Linked DNA regions of Saccharomyces cerevisiae S288C. Changing the gene in region 2 together with the main gene of any one other region gives a genetic interaction. Each region holds a gene or a part of one and is shown on either strand. Other genes may lie near its edges. The genes, in order: MAK11, VAC7, CAK1 and EFT1.

Region 1 (5,292 bases), on a different chromosome or scaffold from region 2:
CACAACATTGCCCGTAATGGAATTGGAATTAGAATTAGAATTAGCAGATGGCTGGTGCGGAGTCATAATATTCGCTTGCAACTTCTGTATTAAAGGGCTATTTGCTAACGACTGGTAGGGACTCGTAGCCGTATTGGTTCTGTTCCAGGGTTGCTGCAAACGATCATTCTGAGCATCGGTTGGTAAACTCTGTTGTGTTCTTGCTGCAGATACGTTAGAAACAAATGGCGAGGCGGCCAATGTAGAATTATGTTGTGAATGTTGCTCCGAAGGCGACATGGGGTTTCTCATAAGTACCCTGTTTGACGATTTCAAGTTTGATGTGGCTTTTGATGACTTGTAATAATGTGTAGCCTTTCCACAAATAACGATATAACAATGACAGCAATAAAGACAAAACTTCATATCATCTTTAACGATTAAGATAAATTATTTTATATTATACATATAAACTAACTTTAGTACGCAACAATTCTGAGCTGCACGCATGTATAAGGCGTTTATTCAAGTTCTACTGATACTTTACTCTTCTTCAATTGCTTCCGCTTCTTTTTATTGAGTTTCTTCTTCTCACCAAACATTATCTTCTTTAATTCTTCGGTATCACTTTCCACCTCACTTTGGTCACCTATATCAGCTGTTTCAGCATCCCTCTTCTTCATTGTGTTGTATTTCTCAATGCTTTCATCGCATAGCGTTAAGCAATTTAGCCTTTCGCCACAGTCGTAGACTGCTACTTGTTCTTTTGTAGACATATCCCATACGACAATTTTACCATCAGAACCAATGGTGACTAGGTAGGTACCAAATTCATTCGTATAAAACTTGAAATCTTTAATACGGTTTGTGTGACCCAATAAAGAAAAAGCGGGGCTGATATCCTCCTTGTCGTCATCATCTTCCTGCTTTTCATTTTCTTCAACTTTTTCGAATAACTCCTCACAAGGATAGAAATGAACATTACCATCGCTGATACCAACAGAAAGGTATTCCTTATTATCGAATGGTAAAATATGTGTTTCAATATGCATAAGAGTTTTCCTTTGAAAGACTATTTCTTTAAAAACTTTAGCCGATCCAGTTTCATAAATAAGCACCCTATCCCTTAAACCCACGGCAAAATAATCACCTTTGGCGCCTAACCATCTAACACAAGTCCCGTTTGTATTATATTTTCTTAGTTTTAGTACAGCAGCATTTCTTAGAGTCATCAAATTCCAAAGACGTATAGAATGGTCATCACTAACACTGATGGCAATTCTATTGGTGGGGTGAATATCCACATCATTAACCCTTGCCGTGTGTCCCTTTAAAGTCCCCACTGTTTCCCAGTCCTTTACTCTCCAAACCATAATTTTGTGGTCTTCTGATGCTGATAATAACCATTTGCTATTCTTGCTCCCCTTTGAAACAGCAGCATCCTCACTGGAAGAAGCTGGATGTGAGAATTGTAGAGCAGTAATAGAGCCCTGATGACTTAACAAAGTACCCAGTTCCTTCCTCTTTTGCAAATCATAAATTCTGATGTGCTCGTCATTGGATCCAGAAACTAGGTATCTTCTTGAAACAGCCAAACATTTAATACTCAACGAATGGGCTTGAAAATGAAATATTGGCATAAAATGTGGTGTCTTTGCTGCATCATTTTCCTTTTGATTTGGGATATCTAAGGATAAACACAAAATGTTGTGCTCGTATGAGCCCACAATGATACGAAATTGGTTCTTGTCGCCTATAGCACTCATTTTTCTACACGAATTCTTGACTTGGCCCTTAGGATCTTTTCGAGATGAGGTACCATGAGTTTTCAATTTTTCATGTTCTAAAAAATTTTCGGCCTTGATCTTGAACTTTATAATTCTAAGCAAAAAAAAAATGAAGACAGTATAAGTAGTATTCAGTAACATAAAGAAGATAAAATTCAAAAATGCAAAATAATAAAAAATGAATCTATATAGTGTAAGGATTATGTAGCTAGAAAAATGTCTTTAATTGACTCGCATGTCGTTTAGAATGTTATTGTTTTGAAACTTCGATAACTGCATTTTAAAAGAGGTTTTCATCCTTTCGTTGCCTAGTAGTACCTTGGCTAAACCAATTCTTAAATATTCCTGAACAATTTTGGATAAATTATGAAACATATCATCATCTTTCCCCAAATTCGATAATGTGAAACATAATAAGAGTACTAAAGTTAAGGGGATCCAAAAGAATAGGAGCATCTTATCATTCTGAAAGTTTTGCTTCTTGGAAAAGATTGTGTTGAACCCGACCTGTAAAGCTTCTAATTCATCGTCTTCAGAAGAAGTTTGAGAATCATCCACGGTCATTTGGGCAGAATTATCTGGCCCAATCTCCACAGATTTGCTACCAAGTTCCCAGTTTTTGGGTTTTTTTGGGAACAAGTCTTCATACTTTGGGAGCTCGTCATTTAAACGAGTTAGCATTCTGTTCCATAAAGATCCGTCAGGCTCTATGCTAGTCTTAGTAGTTTTTGGTATTTCATTTGGCTTTGAAGAGAAGTCCTTGATTTTGTGGGTGTTAAAGAACTCCAAAGCAATCTCATCTGAAGATGATTCACAATCACTTATGTCATAACCTGAATCCGAATCTAGGATTGAGAATGACGTATTGTCATTACAGTTGGATTGTTCGGGGGCAAGGGCAGCGGAATCCGCCAATAAATATTTTCTTTCTTGGACATAGTCATGATCAGCATCGTCATCATCAAATAAACTTGAGTTGAAACTTGACTGGGATACATTTCTCTCAAACGGTTGAGTATCACTGGATCCTGTTGTATTCTTCGTTAATCTAGTCAGAATGTCGTCAAACAGACTGGTTTCATAATTAGAATATCTGGTCTTGTTGACAGTATAATTCATCAGGAAGAACTGTTTAGCGATAAAGCCGTTTCTGGTTTTCTTCATAATATTAACGTTGCATTCTAACAATAGTCTTATAATTCTCAAGTCACCATTAATACACGCCATATGTAGCGGAGTAAAACCAAATAAATCTTGGTCGTTCAAATGCGACCCATATTTGATTAGTAATGAGACAAGACTATACCAGTTATTGAATGCTGCCAGATGTAATAGAGTTCTACCCCTAACGTCACACATGGAAAGATTGACGGTAGAGAGATTATTATTTCTCTTAAATGACTTAATAACTTCAGTGATCAATTGTTCATCGTTTATATTTCGCATCATATTCGTGTACGAATTTAAAGAGCTATTCTGTGAGTGTAATCCTGCGTTATTATTAGATGGAGATGAATCACTGCCAACAATCCTTTTAGCAATATTTCTTGCATCTTCCAGTTTACCGTTCATTTTCAGCCCCACAATTTGCAGAGCCAATTCAATTAGTTGCCTATCAGTATCATCAACATAAGTAAAGATTGCTTTCTCACCGGTATACTTGTTTAAGTGCAGAATGTCATTGGTACTATTGCTGGTGGAAACACTACTATTGCTATTATTTCTCATAGACGTTTCACTTGGGTCGACTATGGTTACCAAAACCGGTCCAGGTTTAGATGAAGGCGGTAAATAAGTCACCATCGTAGATTCATTCCAGCATTGGCTGGACAATGCTATATTTTCGCCAAACTTGATGATTAAGCCCTGCTTAAACTTTGAGCCAAGTAGAGTCACTTCTATACCTCCGTTGATGGAACCTTGTGCGGGGATGACACGCTGAATAGAAGGCTTGTTATTTAGCGCCACGGGGACACTATTATGGTTCGATATATCTTTGGAAGAATCGATGAATTTCTGGGGAAGACGGGAAAACGTATTAGGCGTAGACATAAAAGGCTCGTTTACCGAACGCTGCCTCTTGCCAGTGTGTCTCGCAGAGGCCGCACTGAAATCACTAGTTAATGTAGTAAGAGCGGGATTAGATGAACTATTAAAACCTGTGGACGACCAAGAGTCTAGTGAACGATGTAAATTGTTGTCGTTGTTATTAGAAAAATGAATATCTGAAAAAGAATGGTTGCTGTCCTCACTGGAGGAATTTGGTGATGGAAAGTGTCTGTTGTTGTTCATCATTGCGGTATTAGTCTTAATGTTGTTTTTGTTATCATTATCATTGTTGTTGTTATTACAATTGCTATCAAGCATACAGTTCGTAGAAATGACAAAATTTTTACTGTTAGAAGGCAGGGGGAATTCGGATGGGAAGTTTAAGTCACTTTGCGGCGATGAAAAGGATCTAGTGTCATTTGTCATTGGCGAAACCTGGGCATTGCTGGTGCTGGTTGGAGTTGTGGTATTGCTGGCATTTTTCTTGTCCATGATCATTATGGGATCTGTTATAGTTTTCGCCAAGATATCGCCGTTATGGTCCCTTAGAAGGAACAAAACTACAAACCCGTTAGTTGCCTTGTGGTGTCTGCAGTAACAGACGATTCTCGTCGGTAAGTCGAAATTGATACAGTTAGAGTTACCACTCAAACCGTTATTACTAATGATGAAAAGTTGTTTACTATTGAATATGATTGCTCTTTTGTTTTCGTTATTTTGCCAGATGGAGTTGTCGTTCAACCCAGACTTTCTTCTCGACGCTCTTCTTTTTTCCCTGTTGATACATCTATTACAAACATAGGTCTGCTTGAAGTTGTTGCTATTGTTGTTAGATGCACACAAAAGAAAGGCGTCCAAGAAAAGAGTCCTTTCGTTGATGTCCCTATTGGGTATTGTCAAGTTGGTGGGATCGTCCGAGCTGGTGAAAAACTTGTCCTTCGCTATACAATCAGAGGGCAGATGAATAAAGAAGTTTTTTCTTGCATGTGCGTTTCTAATCCGAAAACTCAGCTTCATCTGAGTTTCCACCCTAGAAACCTTCGGCAACCCAATAATTTCTAGAGACAATGGAAGGGACTGCGGGTTAATGTTGATAAAATCCAGTGGATTCGCGTATGGCGTCCTCAGAGGTAGCTTTCTGCCAAATTGAACGTGTCGATCAAGCAATCCTTGCAAAGATGCGATGTCATCCCTGAGCTCCCCTTCATCTTCCTTACCTGGTGTAGTAGTACCTGCTGTTATCATTTTCTCTTGGTTCAGACTCAATAAACCAGGGTCTTGCAGAGAGGACCCAGAGTTGAGCAGAGCAATATCCAGTAATTCTGATTCTAGTAAATCCAAGTCCGGAGAGCCATCGTTGTGCTGTATGTTGGCGCTATAGCTGTGGAGCATCGAGGAAACGTTTCCTGTGCCACTCATCATTTTCAGTGGTGTACTACTGTTGTGATTAGTCGTTTAGAGGATATCTAGAGTATAA
Region 2 (7,685 bases):
TCCGGCGGTATTAAAAACTCCAGGTTCGGTATTTCTTTGGCAACATTAATGACTAAATCAAACGATAATATATCTTCTAGTTTGGGTTCTGAATATAGATACAAATTAGGCGGCAGTACCAGCAATGGTCCATCTAAATAAACCGTTCGTTGATAAATCTCTGCATGCACCATATCAATATTCAGATCCGAGTCCTCCTCCGGGAAAATCAATGTTGTTTGCATATTCTTTTGGTTAGAAAATCTGTTGACATCCGTACTATCTAAAGTACCTTCACGAGTACTAGAAATTGGCGTGGATGTCTCTAACCCTGAGATCGTTTGAGAACGTCCTCTAATTCCCTTCAACTTCAAGTCTTTAGTTTTCACGGATAATGAATGGACTCTATTCAGATGAGGTTTTTCTGAAAATGACGATAACGGTGATGATGATGACAGCTTACTGATAGACGATACTGTGGATGATTTTGTATACACGCTTGGAGAAACAGTTCGGTTCTTCAAAGATGTTGGTAGTGTGTATATAGAGGCCTCGCTTCGCCTCATCGACAGCGATGGTGGCGTTGGCCTTGGACTTACTTTTGGTGGACATTTCTCCAACACAATAGGTTTGGGCTTCATAAATAGATTCAAAGGTGTCGGCGATGGGAATTTTACTGAACCTGGCACATCTTGGCTTGGCGATGAGAATTCCATTAATGGATGGAGTGCTGCTATATCTAAAGATAAATTTTTGGTATTCCTATTTTGTAAGGAACGCGGTGAGTTTGGCTTGAAATCGATGTCGGTTTTACTGTCCAAATGCTGCTTATCTGAGTGAAATTGCATGTGCACTTATCGCTACCAAATGTATTACTATCGCTTCCGCTACTATTGTTGTCTTATACTTAAATGAAGAAAAAAAAAAGAATGTTTACTAAACGAGTTGCATAACCCTCACTCTTGTTTACTAAACGCTTTATTTAAAAGTAATAATAATGATATATTACACTGTATCGAATCCTATGTAACATTTTTGTATTTTTTCACTTCTAAATTTGAAATAGTCAAAGAGAAAAAAACATCAAAAAACAAACTACATTTTCCTTTTTTGGAAAGTACATTCCTGTTTTGGAAATTGCCTTCCGCTCCTGCGCTATAAAAAGAAAAATACCCAGCTTTGACGAAAAAGCTACATTCTTAACACTCACTTCTTACCAGGATGGACCATGGAATCCTTTTGAATAGCCGTAGATTTTTGCGTATTGAAAAAGGGCACCTCATACTTCATGCTTCCACGGACTATCAATTCGTAATCATGCTTGATTAGTAGCTTCCATTTTTTAGTATCATCTTCTTTGTCATCTCTAGCATTTGGTTTGCTTTTGTATTGTCTTTCATTAGTATTGTTTTCATCGTCACCATCGTCGCCATCATCATCGTCATCATCGTCGTTTTCGTGCTTGGCTTCACGAGACCCAGGACTTAAAAGCTTGACACTCGAGACTGACACATCGTAGTTCCTATTAAATGCGCCGCCCTGGAACTTTAATGGTGTCTCTAGTTTTTTAGCGGTTCCTAGTAATACCGTCTCTATGTTCCCACCACTAATATCATTATTAGCACTCTCTTCAACTAACGAAAGATTTGTCGTTATTTGTAAAATTTTCCGTTCCTGTTCCATTACTGTACAGTCACCATTAGAATCGCACTTCAGGTAAGAACTTTTTGCAAAAATGTCCAAATCGACTTGGGAAACGCTTATACTGAAGAATCCTGGATTAAAAGCACTTACTGTGATGTCGAAGATCAACTCGTCCGAACTTGAAATCACATTATCCATCACTACCACGTCTACATCTTGTAGTTCTTTATTAGTGGCCAATAAAAATCCCAGAATGAATCCTGTCATCAATAGTGATGATATAACAAATGCAAGATAAAGAAAATTCTTTACTTTCACAAATGGGGACTTCCTTGAGTAAAAGTTGTGCGGTGAGTAACCAACAATATCGTTATTATTGATATTGGAATGGGTAACGTCATCGTTACCATTCATATGGATGCTACCATTCATTATGCTATTGTTTGTTCTTGATAGGTGTCTTTGACCACGTTTCATTCTTAAGGGGGTATATTCATTCAATTGGTTGTTATTGCCAGTATTGTTGCCAACCATAAAATCGTAGTAATCATTATTTGATCTTGAAGGCATCCTTCCATGTAATGGAAGTTCGTGCGTGTTGGATGCTGAGCCATAGTAACTGTTGAAAGTAGCATTTGGGCGATCATAATCATCTACGTCTTCATCTTCACCATAATCGGATATTAGCGGTTTTGTTTCTAAATCGTTCTTATGATTATAATAAAACATGGAGTGAATATCGTTTTCATCACTTTCGTTATCTTCTGGAATAAACTCATGCTGAAGGTTAGTGTGTTGCGGTCGATTTACATTAGACGAGTCACCATTATTTTCCTCTTCAATAACATTGTTATCACCATAAAAGTTTAAACCATGGGGAAACTTATTGTTCCTGCTGTTATAAAATTCATCCTTTTTCACACTATTTTGCATTGTTGGATAATTATGCGGCTGTTCGATGTAATCTTCTAGATTAACGTGATCCGGTACCCCAGAGTATCTCCGTAAAGGAGCTCCATTAGGGTTTGAATCAAATATCTTTGACACTGTTGTTCTAAGAGGCCTTTTGTTGTCACCATAATTAGAATTTCTATTAGCAGAGGAATGTCTCAAAGTAGAATTGGAAAGAGATTTCTTCGTTGAAATATCATTGTTTGGTTCCAATTCCTGCGAATTTGTGGCAACATTGGGACACGATATTGTGTTACCGTTGCTTGATGTGGATGAAAGTAAATGTGGAGAAACTTTAGATAGGGATACTAAGCTTGACCTCTTATCAGGCGACTTGGCAATAACATTGCTGTCTGGGTTGTCAGAGGTATACGAATCTACCGATTGTACATCCATTGGTGGTTGCTGCTGCTGCAATTGATGCGGTGGCTCCTGTTTTATACTGCTCAACTCGTCCAGGTGATTGTGTCCCGACATCAGATTGTTATTGTTCTGCATCACATTAGAATTCAAGTTCGGATTTGTGCTTATAGTCGCGATTGTGTTATTCAATATGGCACCAGTGCTAATATGTCTTGAATTTTTCAGTCGGCTTAATAATTTTTTGTTATTGTTTAGCAATGGGGCGCTTATCTTTGAGGTTATTCCATGATTTTGTTGCTGTTGCTGTTGTTTTGGAGGTTGCTGTTGCTGCTGCTGCTGCTGGCTGGAGGAGTCAGGAAATATTAGGTTTTTAGTCGAATTAGCTGCCGATTCATAAACAAATGTTTCCTCAGAATCACTAATTTCATTTTCACCTACAGCTGTAGCCAGCCTTGCAGCGAAAAAATCCGCCTTTGTTGGTTTTTCTGAATTACTCTCATGTGAGTCGTCATTTATTGCATTATTGTTAGAGGTAGAAGCGCTCAAGTCGGCGTTAGAATTCTTGATATCGGCATTGGTTTTATTGGATGCACTATTACTGTTATTGCCGTTGTTGTTGCTGCTGGTTTTCTTCTTGTTATTATTGTGATTGTCAGCATTACTGCTGGAGACACTAGCAGTGAGAGCCTGAGTATTGTCTGTACTGCCCAAAGGTGCGGTTGAAGGCGCTGTTTTAGTAGATGTAGTGCATATTTTGCTGGTGTCATCATTACGTTCATTTTTCCCACTATTAATGTTTTTATTCTTCTTCATTTTGTTGTTATTTTCATTATCATCTGCGTTCGAGTGATTCGGTATACGCAGCCCATCATTTGCTACTGGACCATTATCGTGTGTGGTTGAATTCGCGGGAGCATTCTTCGCCTTTGTATCATCTAACAGGTTTTCACCTAAAAGTATTTCTCTTGAATTAGTGACGTGCATTGTGGGCCTCTCTATTATTTTTGGCTTATTTTGTTGTGATAGTGAAGGTAGAGGTAAAAGAGGAGCTGGAGGTGTATTCGAGCCGATGTTATTACTAGTGCTGGGTGCCGTGTTATTGGAGAAGGCCGAAGCCTTTCTGAACGCTTTAGATGCGGAAGTTGATGATGGACCATGAATATTCGCCGATCTCGCTGTTTGATAAAGGGCAATGTTACTTGTAGGCATATTATTGGAGATGACGGCAGGTTTCTTCTTCGAGAGTTCAACATCTGAAGCAAACGCAGGGTTAGAAGCTACCAACAAAGAGCTCTTCTTGTTTCGTAATGAAGATGACGGATTGGAAAGATGAGATGACAGAGGGTTGTGGTTGATTAGGGCATTGTTACTATTATTATTAGTTGATGAAACAGAGCCGATATGTTCTAAATGTAAATCTGTTGGGATATCACTCGTTGACATTGATGTTCCTGCCCTGTTTATGTCTGAATGCCAATGATCTTGATTATGTGACGTGGCATCGGAATCCATTAAATTGTTATCTATGGTGGGCAAATTATGCTGTACAACGTTGCTGGTGGTGTTAGCAGTAGCGACAGAATCATCAACTATTTCCCTGTGTAGCGGAGAGGTAGATGTGGAGGCAGAGGGAATAGAAGGATTAGGTGCTACTACATTACTGTTATTCGACAATAAAAGATTATTTGCCACGGGTGCCTCAACTGTTTCTGTCTCTACAGTGAGCTTTCTATCTTCTTCTGTCATCTAGCACGTTTCCCAAATGCTTTAACTTGCCTGAGATGAAACGATAAGGTGTATACAGGGCGATTTACACTATAATTTATGGAATATTTTCCTGTATCTACTTGATTTTAGTTGTAGAATTGAAGATCATTATGCAAAATCGAAGGGGATACCCGTCGCAGAAACCACCCAACGAATTTTCTAAAGCGGAAATGCCTAAGAACAAAGAAATAAGAAGAACGAATCAATATATTGCACTACAATATATCACAAAGAGTGGCCAGGAAGACTTACAAGGTCTAAATTTAAGAGGGATTAACGTTTTTTCAAGTTATGTACATCTTTATGTAAACGTAAAATCTAATTTTGTGTCTGTCTGAGGACGGGAGGGGCAGTCTTGTGCGACGACAATTATCTGAAAAATCTGCACATTTGGACTGCAATGTGTATCTCGTGTCTAACAGTCCAACTTTGGTGCTGAATTAACTTCATGAATGACCTCTTAATGATTTAGCGAAGGGAAATTAGAGGACAAGATCTCGCCGCGTGTATAGATATATACATATATATTATCCAAGATTGGAATGAATTTCGCCGCCCCTGCTCACCGACATCGAGACCAGTACGGTGCCTTCGCTAACCAATGTTGGACATAAAGCTTAAACCAGGGCTGATGATTTGCAACCAAAACGGAACGTAAACCTTACACCACTTTTACAGTTTTTTGTTGTAGTTAGAACAAAAGTGAGTAAGTACTCACCGTTTCTGCCGCGCGGCGAACTTACTTACCCAAATATTAATGGAACTTCCGATCCAAACTTCAACTTGTCTTTCACCTCTACGTATCTAATCTTACAGTGAAGTTTCCTAGAAGACTACCATTTATATATGTGGTTGTTGTTACAGCTTTGGACTGTGTGTCTTCGTTCGTTTACATATAGTTTGCAATTGTCCTTCCAAAAAACTACTAACGTTATCCTTGTGACGTTGTTGCTATAGCGTAACGTGCGTCACTAGTCTTCGATTAGTATTCCGTGATAGTTTTGAGAAATGGGTGAATGTTGAGATAATTGTTGGGATTCCATTGTTGATAAAGGCTATAATATTAGGTATACAGAATATACTAGAAGTTCTCCTCGAGGATTTAGGAATCCATAAAAGGAAATCTGTAATTCTACACAATTCTATAAATATTATTATCATCGTTTTATATGTTAATATTCATTGATCCTATTACATTATCAATCCTTGCGTTTCAGCTTCCACTAATTTAGATGACTATTTCTCATCATTTGCGTCATCTTCTAACACCGTATATGATAATATACTAGTAACGTAAATACTAGTTAGTAGATGATAGTTGATTTTTATTCCAACATACCACCCATAATGTAATAGATCTAATGAATCCATTTGTTAGTTAATAGTTTAAATGTTTTTATCGGAAGAGGTTTTGTCATCACATCAGCAATGTTCTTCTTGGTCTCGATGTAGTATACGTATAAATTATTACCTGATACTTCATCTCTAAGTCTCATTGCCTTTGTGCCAAAAAATCTGTTTCTAAATTTCTCTTCATTTGTAGACTTAATTATACTGATCGTTGATCTACTATCAGTAAGTAAGCCTTTAATAATTGGTTTCTTGTTAAGTTCTTGCACAAGGTGACTGAGGTTATTCAATAGCGGAATAGCTTCACTGACTGCGTGTATTTCTGCTTCTGTAGTTGAAGTGCATGTTAACGAAGCCTTTGTCGACTTTCCTCCAATCACTTTTCCGTTGAGTAGGAAAATGTTACCAATTTGTGACTTGTAATATGGTTGGTTACCATATGAAGCATCGCTTATTGCGACTAGTTTATTATCTGGCTTGGTAGGTTTGTTTTTGTGCCATATCAGTTGTTTATCTCTAGTGTCCCACATGAATTGTATTAACTCATATGTCATGTCTAAAACTTGCCTAGAGGGGAATAGTATATGTTGAGCAAGTGTGTTGATGTAGTATAGTAAGTCAAATCTAAATTTATATCCAACATATGAAGCTAGACCAATCAACTTTTGCATTTCATGTACCTTCTCTTTGTATTCATCTTCATCTATTTCTAGTTCATCCTGGTCTATATAAAGACCTGGTTGACCTGGAGCGCTAAGTTTTTTTCCTTTTGGATTTAAATGAACGTTTAGTTTGGGTAATTTTTCTGTCAAAGATTTTTCCATACCTAATTTCATGTACTTGCTTCTTTGATATTTGATCTCTAATCCAAGTATGTCGTACTGAATTTCGTTATCACTTTCACCCAGATTTATTATCTTTGTATCGTATTGTTTCTTGAGTGTTGTTATGATTTTCTTATTTGCATTTAAGTCTTTGCTGAACAATATCATATCATCAACGAATAAGCAAATTGTTACTTGACTATTCTTAAATACGCATGACCATCCGCGAACTTCTTCCATATCACATTGTTCAATCAGATATGATTTGATCGTTTCATACCAGTTTGCACCACTTTGTTTCAAACCATAAAGTGATTTCTTCAAACGTATCAACTTATCATTCATTCCTAAATGTGGTGGAGGTCTTATGTATAATTCTTCTTTGATGTCTGCATACAAATATGCCGAAGATATGTCTAATTGTGTAATATAGTAGTTATTGTCTAATGCAAGTGACAGGGATGTCATCAATGCATAGTGATGTACGGTATTGGATTGCATGCCTGAGTCGTAAGTGTCAGGATGCTGAATATCACCTCTTGCAACAAATCTAGCTTTATGAGTACCGTCACGTTTCCTGTTGAAGATAAACATTGAATTTATTACTCTTTTAGGGTCTATTTCTTTTCTGTCATAATATTTGTCAGTGTCCCAAGTTTTCATCTTCAACAGTTGATTGACTTCTTTGTGGTATGCCTCGATATATTTTTCTTTTTCTTTAATATCTTTATTATAGGTGATTGCCTCATCGTATCGTAAGGTTGTCCGTATTGGTTTGATTGATTTTACTGCTTTTACAGCTGCAAT
Region 3 (5,392 bases), on a different chromosome or scaffold from region 2:
CCTCTTTGGGCCACACCTCTCCTGAGTTCGTCTCTATTTTTCAAAGGGTGCTAAAGAACACAAGAGCTGTCTTCAAATCCGCTGCTGCCTCGAAGTCTCAGCCTTTTGTGCTTGCCGGCTCTGGTACGTTGGGGTGGGACATATTTGCCTCGAACTTTATTCTTTCGAAGGCCCCCAACAAGAACGTGCTGGTCGTATCCACTGGGACATTTTCTGACAGGTTTGCTGACTGTCTGCGTAGCTACGGTGCGCAAGTAGATGTTGTTAGGCCCCTCAAGATAGGCGAATCAGTTCCCTTAGAACTGATTACTGAAAAGTTGTCGCAAAATAGCTATGGGGCTGTCACGGTTACGCACGTTGACACTTCAACGGCAGTGCTGTCCGATCTGAAAGCCATTTCGCAAGCGATTAAGCAGACTTCGCCGGAAACGTTCTTCGTAGTCGATGCTGTATGCTCGATTGGATGCGAAGAGTTTGAATTTGATGAATGGGGGGTGGATTTCGCCTTGACTGCTTCGCAAAAGGCTATTGGCGCTCCAGCGGGTCTTTCTATCTCGCTATGCAGTAGCAGATTCATGGATTATGCACTCAACGACAGCAAAAATGGTCATGTACATGGGTATTTTTCCTCGTTGAGAAGATGGACACCAATAATGGAAAATTATGAGGCTGGTAAAGGAGCTTATTTTGCAACCCCACCCGTACAACTAATTAATAGCCTTGATGTAGCCTTGAAAGAAATTCTCGAAGAGGGGTTGCATAAGAGATGGGATTTGCACCGTGAAATGAGTGATTGGTTTAAAGACAGTTTGGTTAATGGCTTGCAATTGACATCCGTCAGTAGGTATCCTTCTAACATGTCTGCGCACGGGTTGACAGCCGTATACGTAGCAGATCCTCCTGATGTCATTGCTTTTTTAAAGTCACACGGTGTAGTCATTGCCGGAGGTATTCACAAGGACATCGGACCCAAGTATATCCGTATTGGACATATGGGTGTGACCGCTTGCAACAAGAATTTACCGTACATGAAGAACTGCTTCGACTTAATAAAACTAGCTCTTCAGAGGAAAAAGTGATTACCCTCGTACTTTTCATTTCATATATATATATATATATATATATGTACCTATATATTCTTCTTATTATGGCTTTTCTAATTCTTGCAAGATTCTTTGACAGCTCCATCTTTCGTTTGGTGAAAATGAAACCATCCCCAGGATACAATTAATGAACTTCTGCTTGACTTTGACATCCGCAATCTCGTCCAGTCGAGGCATATTCCTCTCAACAATGCTAATCTGTACATCTTTCTCCTGGTCCAGTACATACTTGCCATCGCCATCTGCACCAAACATACCAACAAATGCATCAACCGAGCCGTGTTGCGCAACCTCTTCCCATTTCTGAATGGACGGTATGCCCAACTTTTCGAATATTGAGCAAATCAGTCTGAAATCGCTTCCATCTGAGTTCATGTCGTCGCTGCCGTCATCAATCATGGCCGGAACGTGCCCCATACGGCTTGTTTCTCTCTGGAACCACTGAGAAATAATTATCAACAACGACCACACGTCCACGCCACCATCATAGCATTTTACTCCAAAAAGCACTTCTGGGGCCTTGTAAATTCCTGTGCTTATATCCGTCACCTTGCTATCCATGGGTTCCGCACTTGTTTGTGAGTTATTTGCCATGTCATAAGAGATGCCAAAATCAATTATGTACAACTTTGGGGATACGGTGCTGGTATTGTTTGTTAGCATGATATTTTGCGGTTTGATGTCGCGGTGAATGATCTTGTTCTCATGTAAGAATGCAATCCCTTCAACCATTTGCCGGAAAAAGGACAAAGAATACCGATTGACGTCCAATTGATTAGTATATTTCTGAACGGGGGGGTCCGCAACAATTGGGATACTGGGATTTAGCAAATCGTAATAGGGATTTTTTTTTCTTCTATCTCTTTTATAGTGCATTTGCATGAACTCATAAAGGTTCATCTCTTCAAAGGGAAACAACAACAATAGGTCATTATTATCGGTAGCCTTAGACTCTAGAAGAGGTAAGATGTGCTTACATTTGTTGCCCAGTTTGTTTAATATCGATACTTCGAATTTGGCGTTATGTGGCGGGATATCGAAATCTAGTGCTAGACATTTAATGGCATATGTATCCGACCTATAAATCCTAGCAGTTCTAGTAGATTTGACCAACTGACAGTGTGTAATGTCTATACTATCCAGTTTCATTAAGATGGGCGTGAATTTTGTTGCCTCTCTTCTTCATCTGGCCTCTTTGCTTCTATGAGACTTCTGTCGTTTTCCTTTTTTTAGGATCACAAACTACTTCTATAACTTAAATAGTCAAATCACATTTTCCACTAAGATACATATTTTCTATACAGGGGGTCTTTGCAGTTATATATACTCAGTTATATACCAATCTCTTTGTCAGGAATTTGATTATCACGTTTCAACCATTCTAGTGCTAATGGATGCAAACTATTCACTTTACTAATAACAACCTTATTGTTGTCATTTTCAAAGGCCACTTGTCCATTAACTTTAGCATTGACCACTTCAGAGAACTCTACGTCTTTCTGATAATCTAAATTATCCACAATCTTACCTGATTTCATATGGTATACTTGGTTAGGCCATTTGGCCAAGCCGTCAAAAATATGTGTAGCGTAGACCACTGAGCATCTTCTGGTTTCGGTCTCCCACTTTAAAAACTCCAGAAGTCTTGCTCTGGCAATAACATCGAGATCCACAGTGACCTCATCAAGTAGTAAAACTCTCCAAGGTTTCAAGAGCCCCATGGCTAACTGAACTCTTCTCTTTTGTCCATCACTTAACCTGTGCATTCTCCAACGTACATCGATGTCCAGGATTCTAACCAATCTTTCACCTCTTTCCCTAAAATGATCGAATCCAATACTTTTTAATAGTTCCAAGACGCCGATATCCCTATTAATGATACTCATATGGCACCATTCCGTACCTAGATAAGTGGTCGTTTGGTAGTTCGTCGAATCTTCAACACTTTCATCATCGTCCACTTGATTCATAGATAATGGACTGAATGGATCAAGACCATTGACCAGGATTTTTCCATCAAGGCAAAGATGCTTACCGCTTAGTAATTTCAAAAGGGTGGATTTACCAGCACCATTGGCACCCACAACTAAAGATCTTGTATTCCATGGGATTTGAAGATTGATATCAACAACTGACGGATCGGAGCTTTCTTTGAATTTGTACGTTAGGTTACGCACCTCAATAGCAAATTGGGAAACCATCTTGAGAGTTATCTAATATCTTGATATCTTATGCAGGAGTACTGGTTTTCTCCATACTAAAAATCTCTCTTTCAGAATTTTCGTTTTTTCTTATTTGAGTCATCCTCGAAGAAATTTCCGCAGCGAATTTTAAAGAAGCACTTTATAATAATACCTTACATATGAGTTTGTTTCTATGTCATGGGTATATAAGGTATATTGTATGCTATCTAGTTGGATGCCCCAGTTTCAAAATGTCCCTAATCGGATCCACCCAGATGTGACTAACGTGGTGCAAATTTATATTTATATGTGATAAGTCTTTCAACTTTGTGGAGATCATGTAACGTAGATTGAGTACTAAACTCAACGACCTTGTAGTCCGTAATTGGTACAGGATAGCTACAATCCCGATAAGTAAAGAAATTTTGCTCCACCTGTTATATTTGGAGGGTAAAAAATGGCCAAGTCTTTGGACCAACGCCCTTGTCTTGGATCTGGCGGCGACACCATGATACTTTTCTTCCTTGTAATGCTCGTTCATCTTTGTTTGTTCGCTCAAATAGAAGATAATGGTGCTCATATCGAAGCATCCTGGCTTTCCACATGCTGTATTGAGTAATGCACTATATTTATTAAGACTCACCCGTTTCAAAGCCTTCTTGCTGGCAGTAGTCGCATCTTTTCTAGTTATTTGCAAGACTTCTTCCCAAAGCGCCTCATCATACAGTTTTTTCTGTAAAACTGTTTGTATAGCACCATGGCGCAGGTCAAAATCGTTCTCGAAGAAATCAGAATTAGCTTCTATTTGCTTCGAAATTTCAGACGCATTTTGCAATAGCAGGTTCTTGTATATGATCAAAGGTAAACGCATAGATTGCATCGATATTGTCATGTCAAATATCTGGAAAAGAATTTTATGAAGATTGTTGTCACCGCTATCTATAGGTTTCAAATTATGTGCAAAGATTGTCAATATTGACCCAATAGCGAAAAGGGGCTCATTTTCGTCAAATTTGAATAGATTATAGAATTTCATGTTTGATTCCTTTATCAATGAAGAGATTACTCTCAATTGCTCAAATGAAAAATCTAGTGAGTTCATCATGAAATCCCTCAGATATAATAGGGTAAATGCTTCGATGCAATAAAACAGCCTTTCCATATCAATTTCTTCTTGCAATGAGAGATTTTCTAGTTCCAGTCCGTTCTCTTTTGTGACATTCCAACTAAAACACATGATGAAAACAGACACAATATCATGATAACCTTGGTAATAGTTCAACGTTGGGTACTTTCTCAATACCCGAGTAATTAACTCCACCAGTAGTTTTCTCAATTGCAGTTTCAAGTTTTTGTCGACAATTCCACCAAAAGACCTTTCTGCATCCAATATCACCTGACCTTCATCTTTATGTTTTTCCACTGGTGTAATGTACTCTGTTGCATCATCAATAAGCAACTGGGACGCCAATAATTCATACCAACAATCTTTTCTTAATGAGTTGTTTACAAACCCCAGAGGCCCTAAACCTATGTACCTCAAAGCTCGGACATCTTTTTTCTCTAATAACTTTGATATAACTTTTCCTTTTTGTTCTTCTGCCTTTCCACTGTCACAACGAGAAAGTGATTCCAGATATGCGTTATAACCTCCCCTTGTCAACGCGTCTTTGTCGTGGCTACTCTGATTAGTATGAAATAATGACCTTAATGGCATCGTATTTTGTTAATTGGCTTGTTCTATGTCATTTGCTAAATTTTCTCTTTATTTCTTTACTTTGCCAATTCAAGATAATCTTCCCTTCCCAGAGAGAAAAAAGGAAAAATTTAGCTATGAAACCTCAATAAGCTTTTTAATACACCAAAGATTCAAGATAAGAGCATAGAACGAACTGTAGAATAGTCCGGATATGTTATCCAATGCCTGCCAAAATGCATTGTCACACGCTGTAGTGCTCGAATAGGTGTTGCAATCCGTCAATATACGTCTTGCTCTGTGGGTAAATGTCTCGTGCATTAAGACAGGCTAGTATAAACGAGAAGAAGTATCCTGCTTTGCAATGAAACAATAGTATCCGCTAAGAATTTAAGCAGGCCAACGTCCAT
Region 4 (6,613 bases), on a different chromosome or scaffold from region 2:
CTTATATATTCTTTAACCAAACAATGGAAGTTACAGAAAATAGGAACTGACCAACCAGAGCGGCCCGTGTCATGCCCCCCCTTGCCGAGATGCGGACCGAGATTGCTGAAAGAAGCGCCGAGTATCGCAAAAGGCCCCTGGCGGGGCAACGACAATTTCTTCGCCGAACCTCGGAATCGACTAGCAGATCACAGTGCTTAGGAAGCTAAGGCTGCGTTCTAGAAGGGCTAGTGAGTCTTCTCAACCATGACTGTCGTTGTTTGTGTTTGGTTTTATGTTCACCTCTAGGAACTCTTTCTGTAGGGTCTTTGATGCCAGTATTGCTGCTGTTTCCAACGTTCCCAAGTAATTTACTAAGTCTGGGAGAAAGGGACTCTGCACTCAATGTTCTACCTTTAAAGGATCTCGGTACAGAAAGCCCATTGTTATCAAAATCTATTGGGCTAGGAAACAGTGCATGATGATGATGATGATGATGATGTATGGTAAAATTGTTGGAGTCAGAAAGTGCACGTGACCTTGGAAGCATATGGTCATCTATTGAAGGGTGCACAAAATCTTCTTCATCGGAGTCAATAGCCATTTCAGGAACGGTAATGTTGTTAAACTTTGCTACTGTTCCTGCATGCGGCATGGTGTCCTTATTCGCTTTTTCCGTATTCGGTATTATATCTGAAGCGTGTAGTATGAGGAATTCGATGACAGTTCTGGAAGCCTCATACTCTTTCGGGCACATTTCATCCTTGGGATGAGACAAAAGTGAGGGTTGTACGATGGCCGCTAAATTGCTTGCTGACATTAAATTCTTCTTTTCATTTCTTGCAAATAAATTCAAGAGCGCGGCTAAATAAAGTATTAAATGGCGATTTTGTTGTGGTAAGAGCATATAAATATCTTCGTAGTCCTTAATGATTTGTTCTTTGTGCTCATTTATTTTTGGGTTTTCTAATATTGGATTTCTAAAAATGTCGTATAATGCTAGGGGAACCAAAGGCTCACTTAATGAGTTCAAATATCTTTTTAATAAAGTTGCAATGTCATGAACATTGAAATCACACCATCCTTCAAATTTACGACCATAATCGGGCGGTTTAGAGAAAACAGCTTGTAGCTCTCTAACACGTTTATTGCTTCCCGCAATACGGAAAATTCCTGTTGTGTCTAATGCATTCTCTTTTAGGTATTTCCCACTTTTTGCTATTACCACCGGTATGGAACCAATTTCATTTGTACTTTTTTGGATAATTACTTCCTCTTGAGCAACTTTCAGTGATTCCTCGAGTGAGACGCCAAATACTTTACCATCAAATTCGTTTTGCAAATTAGTAAAGGTGTCCCTATCCTTCTTGCCCTCAACAGAAGACATTGAAGATGACCTATTCTGTGGAGAACCCTCTTCAGAAGAAGGTGTAGAAAGTAGATTCATGTTAAACATTCTATTTTATGTTGTGTAATAAGATATGTCCAGAAATATACTATGGTTATTTATGTACTCTTTCCTGTGTACGCGTTTCGATTATTTTGCAGGTTATATTATATACTGCTATCACATGCTAAAACAAGAGTATCTAACAATGGGAACACAAAGCAAGTATTGATTTACTCATTCCAGTTGTGTAATTTTCTTCTAAAGATGTACTTAAATAAGAAGAAAACAATGATTGTCTTCGACCTCAACGCCTCGAACCAACGCTTTCCCCAATAGCGAGAGAAAGTAAGTAACCGGAAAATTAATTACCTCTTTCTTTCACCTGCAGGGGCTGAGGTGCTTCTGTTAGTGCGCCTCTAGAAGTATCGGCCATAATGAGATATATACTTTGGTTGCCCCTCCGGTTTTGAGGGAGTTTTAGCCCGATGAGGCTGGTCCTCCCCTCCAAGGATTTTTTGTATTTCCTATTTCGCTCTAATTATAGAAGCACCAACATACGGCGGGGTATAAACCAAACAATAGCCGCGGAAGCCCAATCTTCTTCTCCTTTTTTCGTAAACGGATAAAAAGCTATGACCAAGAGCCAGGTAAGTTATACGTAATACTACCTCAGGACCGATGTCATTAATGAATTATAATGGTTTTTAATAGTTTTTTCCATAGTATATCTAACGGGGTGGTGATACGTCGTAATAGTCAAGAAGTTGCCGTTCCTCCCCCTCTACAAAGGGGGCGGTAATACGAAAAGGTCCATTTTTATGATGGGTTCGATTGTAAACATTCGGAATATAACTATATGACAAAAATGTGTAAGAAAATAATATATAAGTCTATTACCATACTATTTTTATTACGACAAAATTTTAAAGCAGAGAATAAATGAAAAAGATCATAAGGCGGTAAGGTTTGCTCTTACAGAACCACCTTTTCTCATTTAGACTTCTTACAATTTGTCGTAATATTCTTGCCAGCCTGGAACTTCTTCCTTCATACCGTGTCTCTTACGAGCAGCAAGAACAATTTCACCAGCCTTAGAGGTTGGGTCCAATGGGTCAGAACCTAAAGTGGACCAATGGTCGAAAACCATTTGTGGGAAAGCTTGACCACCGGTAGCTTGTCTCAATTCACCAGTGAAACCGAAAGATTCGTTAACTGGCAAGTAGGCCTTGACGGTAAACAATGGAGTACCTGGTCTTTGTTCTTCAGAAACGACTTGACCTCTCTTCTTGTTTAAGACGGAGTAGATACCACCGACGGCTTGTTCTGGACATTGAATTTCGACCAAGAAAACTGGTTCTTGGATCTTTGGATCAGCCAACAAGAAACCGGCGTAAGTAGCTCTTCTCATGGTTGGGATGATTTGACCACCACCTCTGTGGATAGCATCGGCATGTAAAGTAACATCCAAAATGTTAACTCTGACAGATCTCATTTCTTCACCGAAAATTGGACCTTCCTTGGTAGCCCATTGGAAAGCAGCAACAACGGAATCCTTGATTTCGTGCAAGTATTGGACAGCCTTAGTTTGGTCAATAACCAAGTTTGGACCGTTACCGTCTGGACCGAAACACCAGATCTTTCTGGCATCGGTGACATCCCAACCGTAGTCGTCAGCCATGATTCTAGCTCTGGCCTTGAAATCATCTCTTGGGTTGATGATACCGTTTTCAATAGCCAAAGAGACTTCTTCGTCAATTGGTTCAGCCTTCAAGTAGATTCTGTTATGCTTGTTTGGAGACTTGGACAAAGCAGTTTGAGAAGATTCACTTTCAACAGTTTCTCTGTAAGCGACAACTGGTGGGGAGATCTTCAATGGAACACCAGCGTGGTCGTGTTCCAAATCTTGCAAACAAATTTCCAAATGCAATTCACCGGTACCAGCAACGATATGTTCACCGGATTCAGACATATAGGTCAAGACACATGGATCAGACTTGGACAATCTCTTCAAACCTTCGACCAATTTTGGTAAGTCGTTAGCGTTCTTGACTTCGACAGCGACTTGCACAACTGGAGAGACAGAGAATTTCATGACCTTCATGTTGTGAGCAGTTTCACTGGTGGTCAAAGTACCAGTCTTCAACAAGAATTGATCGATACCGACTAAACCGATAATGTTACCGGCTGGACAGTCATCGATTGGTTCGACAAATCTACCCATCATCAAAACAACTCTTTGAATGGCCTTGATGAACAAATCGTCCTTCTTACCTGGAACGTAGTTTGGACCTTGGATTCTGACCTTTTGACCGGACTTAACAGTACCGGCAAAAACTCTACCGAAGGCGTAGAATCTACCCTTATCAGAGGTTGGCACCATCTTGGAGACGTACAACATCAAATCAGCCTTTGGATCACAGTTCTTGATAGCAATACAGTTGGCATCGTCAGCTGGACCTTCGTATAATTGTTCAGCTCTGTAGGCTTGAGCAGTGACTGGAGATGGCAAGTGCAAGACAATCATTTCCAATAAGGCATCGGCAGCTGGCAAGAACTTTCTCATAACAACCTTCAACAAGGCCTTACCTTCCAAGTCCTTTTCGTCACCCTTCAAGACAATTTCCAACTTTTCTAGCAAAACTGGAATTTCGTCTTTCTTGAAGTTCATGATAGCAGTGAATAATCTGAAGATTGGGTCCAAGATGAACATGTTGAAAGCTCTTTCCAATGGCTTACCTTCAGCATCAGTGTCCTTGTTGGTCCACTTCTTGGTCTTTGGGTTGAAGAAAGAGTCACCCCATAATCTGTCCATCATCTTGGCCTTGTCGACACCGAATTTCTTAGCATATCTGGTGGCGAATTGACGGATAGTGAAAGCCCAACCGTGCAAACCGGAACCGAAGGCAACGGTACCTCTGGCTGGGTAAACTTGGACATCACCCAAAACTTCATCGGCGTAGGTGGAAACGATGACGTTAACGGATTCAACAGTTCTGGCAAAGGTTTGGTATAAATCTTCCTTAGAAACTTGCAATTCCAACAAAGCTCTGTCGACCTTGTTGATAACAACAACAGGCTTGATTCTTTCACCCAAAGCTTGTCTCAAAACAGTTTCGGTTTGGACACAGACACCTTCAATGGTGTCGACGACAACCAAAGCACCGTCAGTGACACGTAAAGCGGCAGTAACTTCAGAGGAGAAGTCAACGTGACCTGGAGAGTCGATCAAGTTGATCAAGAAGGAGTTACCGTCGGTCTTTTGCTTGATTTCCTTGACATCTTCGTCAGACATTTCAGAGTATAGAGAAATAGCGGTAGACTTGATAGTGATACCTCTTTCTTGTTCATCCTTTCTGGTATCGGTGAAACGAGCTTCACCAGCCTTAGCAGCGGAAATAATACCGGCTCTTTGGACCAAGGAATCGGTCAAAGTGGACTTACCATGATCGACGTGAGCAATAACGGACATGTTACGCACATTGGTAACTTTGTCCATTAAAGAACGCATTTGGTCAACAGTGAAAGCAACCATTTTTATCTGTTATTAAAAATTCTTGGGTGCGTAGGTCTGGCTTTCTGGCAAATGGGGTTAAGTAAAAAAACCAGTGAAGCGTTTAATACAACAGTAGTATGCAATTGAGATTAATTAAAGGAAGGCTCATGGCAAAAAAAAATTTTCTAGGTGAGATTTGAAAAAAAATTTTAAAAGTGCAACACGGAAGTTTACCCGGGATTAATATCAACTAAAGGAAAAAGATCACCTTGTTCAAAGGTATGAATTTTCTACTTTATATACGTATTATTTAGTGGACATGCCCAAAAGTGAAGCAGCATGGCGCGCATTCAGTGATGTAGTGTCTGAGTCCTGAGAGTTGTACCCATCGTCTTCAGTGAATAGTTCATCATCAAATTCGGTATGAGCGATCTTGTTGATGGGGATTTGACTTTTGCGGTTGCTCTCTCCCGTCCAACTGTCCCCTTTAAGGGTTTGAGAAGTATCGGAGTTGTTGTTTGAGACAGCATGGCGTCCTAGACGTGACAAACCTCCGTTTTCATCAGCTTTTCTGATATCAGAACGTACTCGTTCTAGTAACGTCAGCTTCTTTCTTTCATACTCTATCTTTCTTAGTGTAAATTCTTTGATCGAGCTTCTTATCCATTCTTCATACCAGCTAATCCACTGTTTTCTCTCGATAATCATGTTGGACGTGATTCGTTGAAGCTTAAGGGTCAAAACTTGTTCGTTTTTAGCTGCAGCTTTCAACTGACGTAGTGCTTCATCGATTTTCATAGGGTTAATATCTCTTCTTGACCGGAACCTGCGTGCTTGTTCCTGTTTCGCCTTTGAATTCTGCTGTGCCTGTACTAGATTTCGCATGATAAAATGCCTGTTGGTCAATGCTTCCTTCACGGCATAAGCATCTCTGACAATCCACTCTAAACCATCGTACAATGTCGCCATGTCCATGGTTGCTATAATGCTATCAATATCACCCACAGCAGTCAATATTTTACCGTATCTTCTGTAAAGTTTATTGTGCTCATCTAGATTAACGAAATCCTGGCCGAAGGCATTTTCTTCTTGAACCATCATCTTGCGATTTCTGGAAACTCTTAGCAGTTTTTCTTGCAAGCTCTGAGAAACAACATATATAGACTTGACTAATGGCCGGAATTCTGCTAATTCTGTGATTTCATCATATGGAGGTGCTAATTGTTTCAATGTTTTTCTTTTCAACCCAGATGCGAGTGATTTGGACTTGTTGATGGGTGTGTACGTATTAAAGTCACTTTCAATGAAAAAGGCCACTTCTTCATTCCGAATAATTAAGGGGTCTTGCGATAGCCTGTTAAACCAAAGTTGGAAATTTCGCGTTACTTTCATCCTATCTTCTTCGCTATTAATTCCGAATGTAGTATACGCAGAGGGAAGAGTAGGAACAAAAGATTCCTGAATGGCAACATTCAGATATTTGAACAATTGGTGGAATTCTTCGTATGATTTTTTGACATTCTTGTATTGTTGTTTGCGAAATGTTGGCAAATTTGTGGAGCAATCAAATATAATAGTCGGATTCTCTTTCTTACCGGTTGCAGATCCAAATCGTTCCAATCCTGTTACTTTTGCAAGTAGAGTGTATTTTTTTTTCTCATCACTTCTTTCAGGAAGTATAACACGTTCTGATGGTTGAGATGGTTGTTGGTTTTCATTGTGTTCGTTTGAAGTTTTTGATCGTGTTGCGT

Evidence for each region.
Region 1: mutations in VAC7 (region 2) and MAK11 together harm fitness less than expected from each alone (positive genetic interaction), as found in Saccharomyces cerevisiae (one large-scale study listed by BioGRID).
Region 3: mutations in VAC7 (region 2) and CAK1 together harm fitness more than expected from each alone (negative genetic interaction), as found in Saccharomyces cerevisiae (one large-scale study listed by BioGRID).
Region 4: mutations in VAC7 (region 2) and EFT1 together harm fitness more than expected from each alone (negative genetic interaction), as found in Saccharomyces cerevisiae (one large-scale study listed by BioGRID).

Annotation. Positions count from the first base shown.
Region 1 is NC_001143.9:396,844-402,135, forward strand, and holds MAK11 (Mak11p), read right to left. Parts: upstream 1,908-5,292; coding exon 501-1,907; downstream 1-500. Other genes in the region: anaphase promoting complex subunit CDC16, read right to left, coding at 1-405; SPT23 (Spt23p), read right to left, coding at 1,989-5,237.
Region 2 is NC_001146.8:523,084-530,768, reverse strand, and holds VAC7 (Vac7p), read right to left. Parts: upstream 4,684-7,685; coding exon 1,186-4,683; downstream 1-1,185. Other genes in the region: tyrosine/serine/threonine protein phosphatase MSG5, read right to left, coding at 1-827. UniProt on the Saccharomyces cerevisiae protein: The PI(3,5)P2 regulatory complex regulates both the synthesis and turnover of phosphatidylinositol 3,5-bisphosphate (PtdIns(3,5)P2). Positively regulates FAB1 kinase activity.
Region 3 is NC_001138.5:76,910-82,301, forward strand, and holds CAK1 (cyclin-dependent protein kinase-activating kinase CAK1), read right to left. Parts: upstream 2,253-5,392; coding exon 1,146-2,252; downstream 1-1,145. Other genes in the region: AGX1 (alanine--glyoxylate transaminase), read left to right, coding at 1-1,079; putative ATP-binding cassette family ATPase CAF16, read right to left, coding at 2,435-3,304; GTPase-activating protein GYP8, read right to left, coding at 3,510-5,003.
Region 4 is NC_001147.6:573,386-579,998, reverse strand, and holds EFT1 (elongation factor 2), read right to left. Parts: upstream 4,902-6,613; coding exon 2,373-4,901; downstream 1-2,372. Other genes in the region: GTPase-activating protein BAG7, read right to left, coding at 206-1,435; retromer subunit VPS17, read right to left, coding at 5,169-6,613. UniProt on the Saccharomyces cerevisiae protein: Catalyzes the GTP-dependent ribosomal translocation step during translation elongation.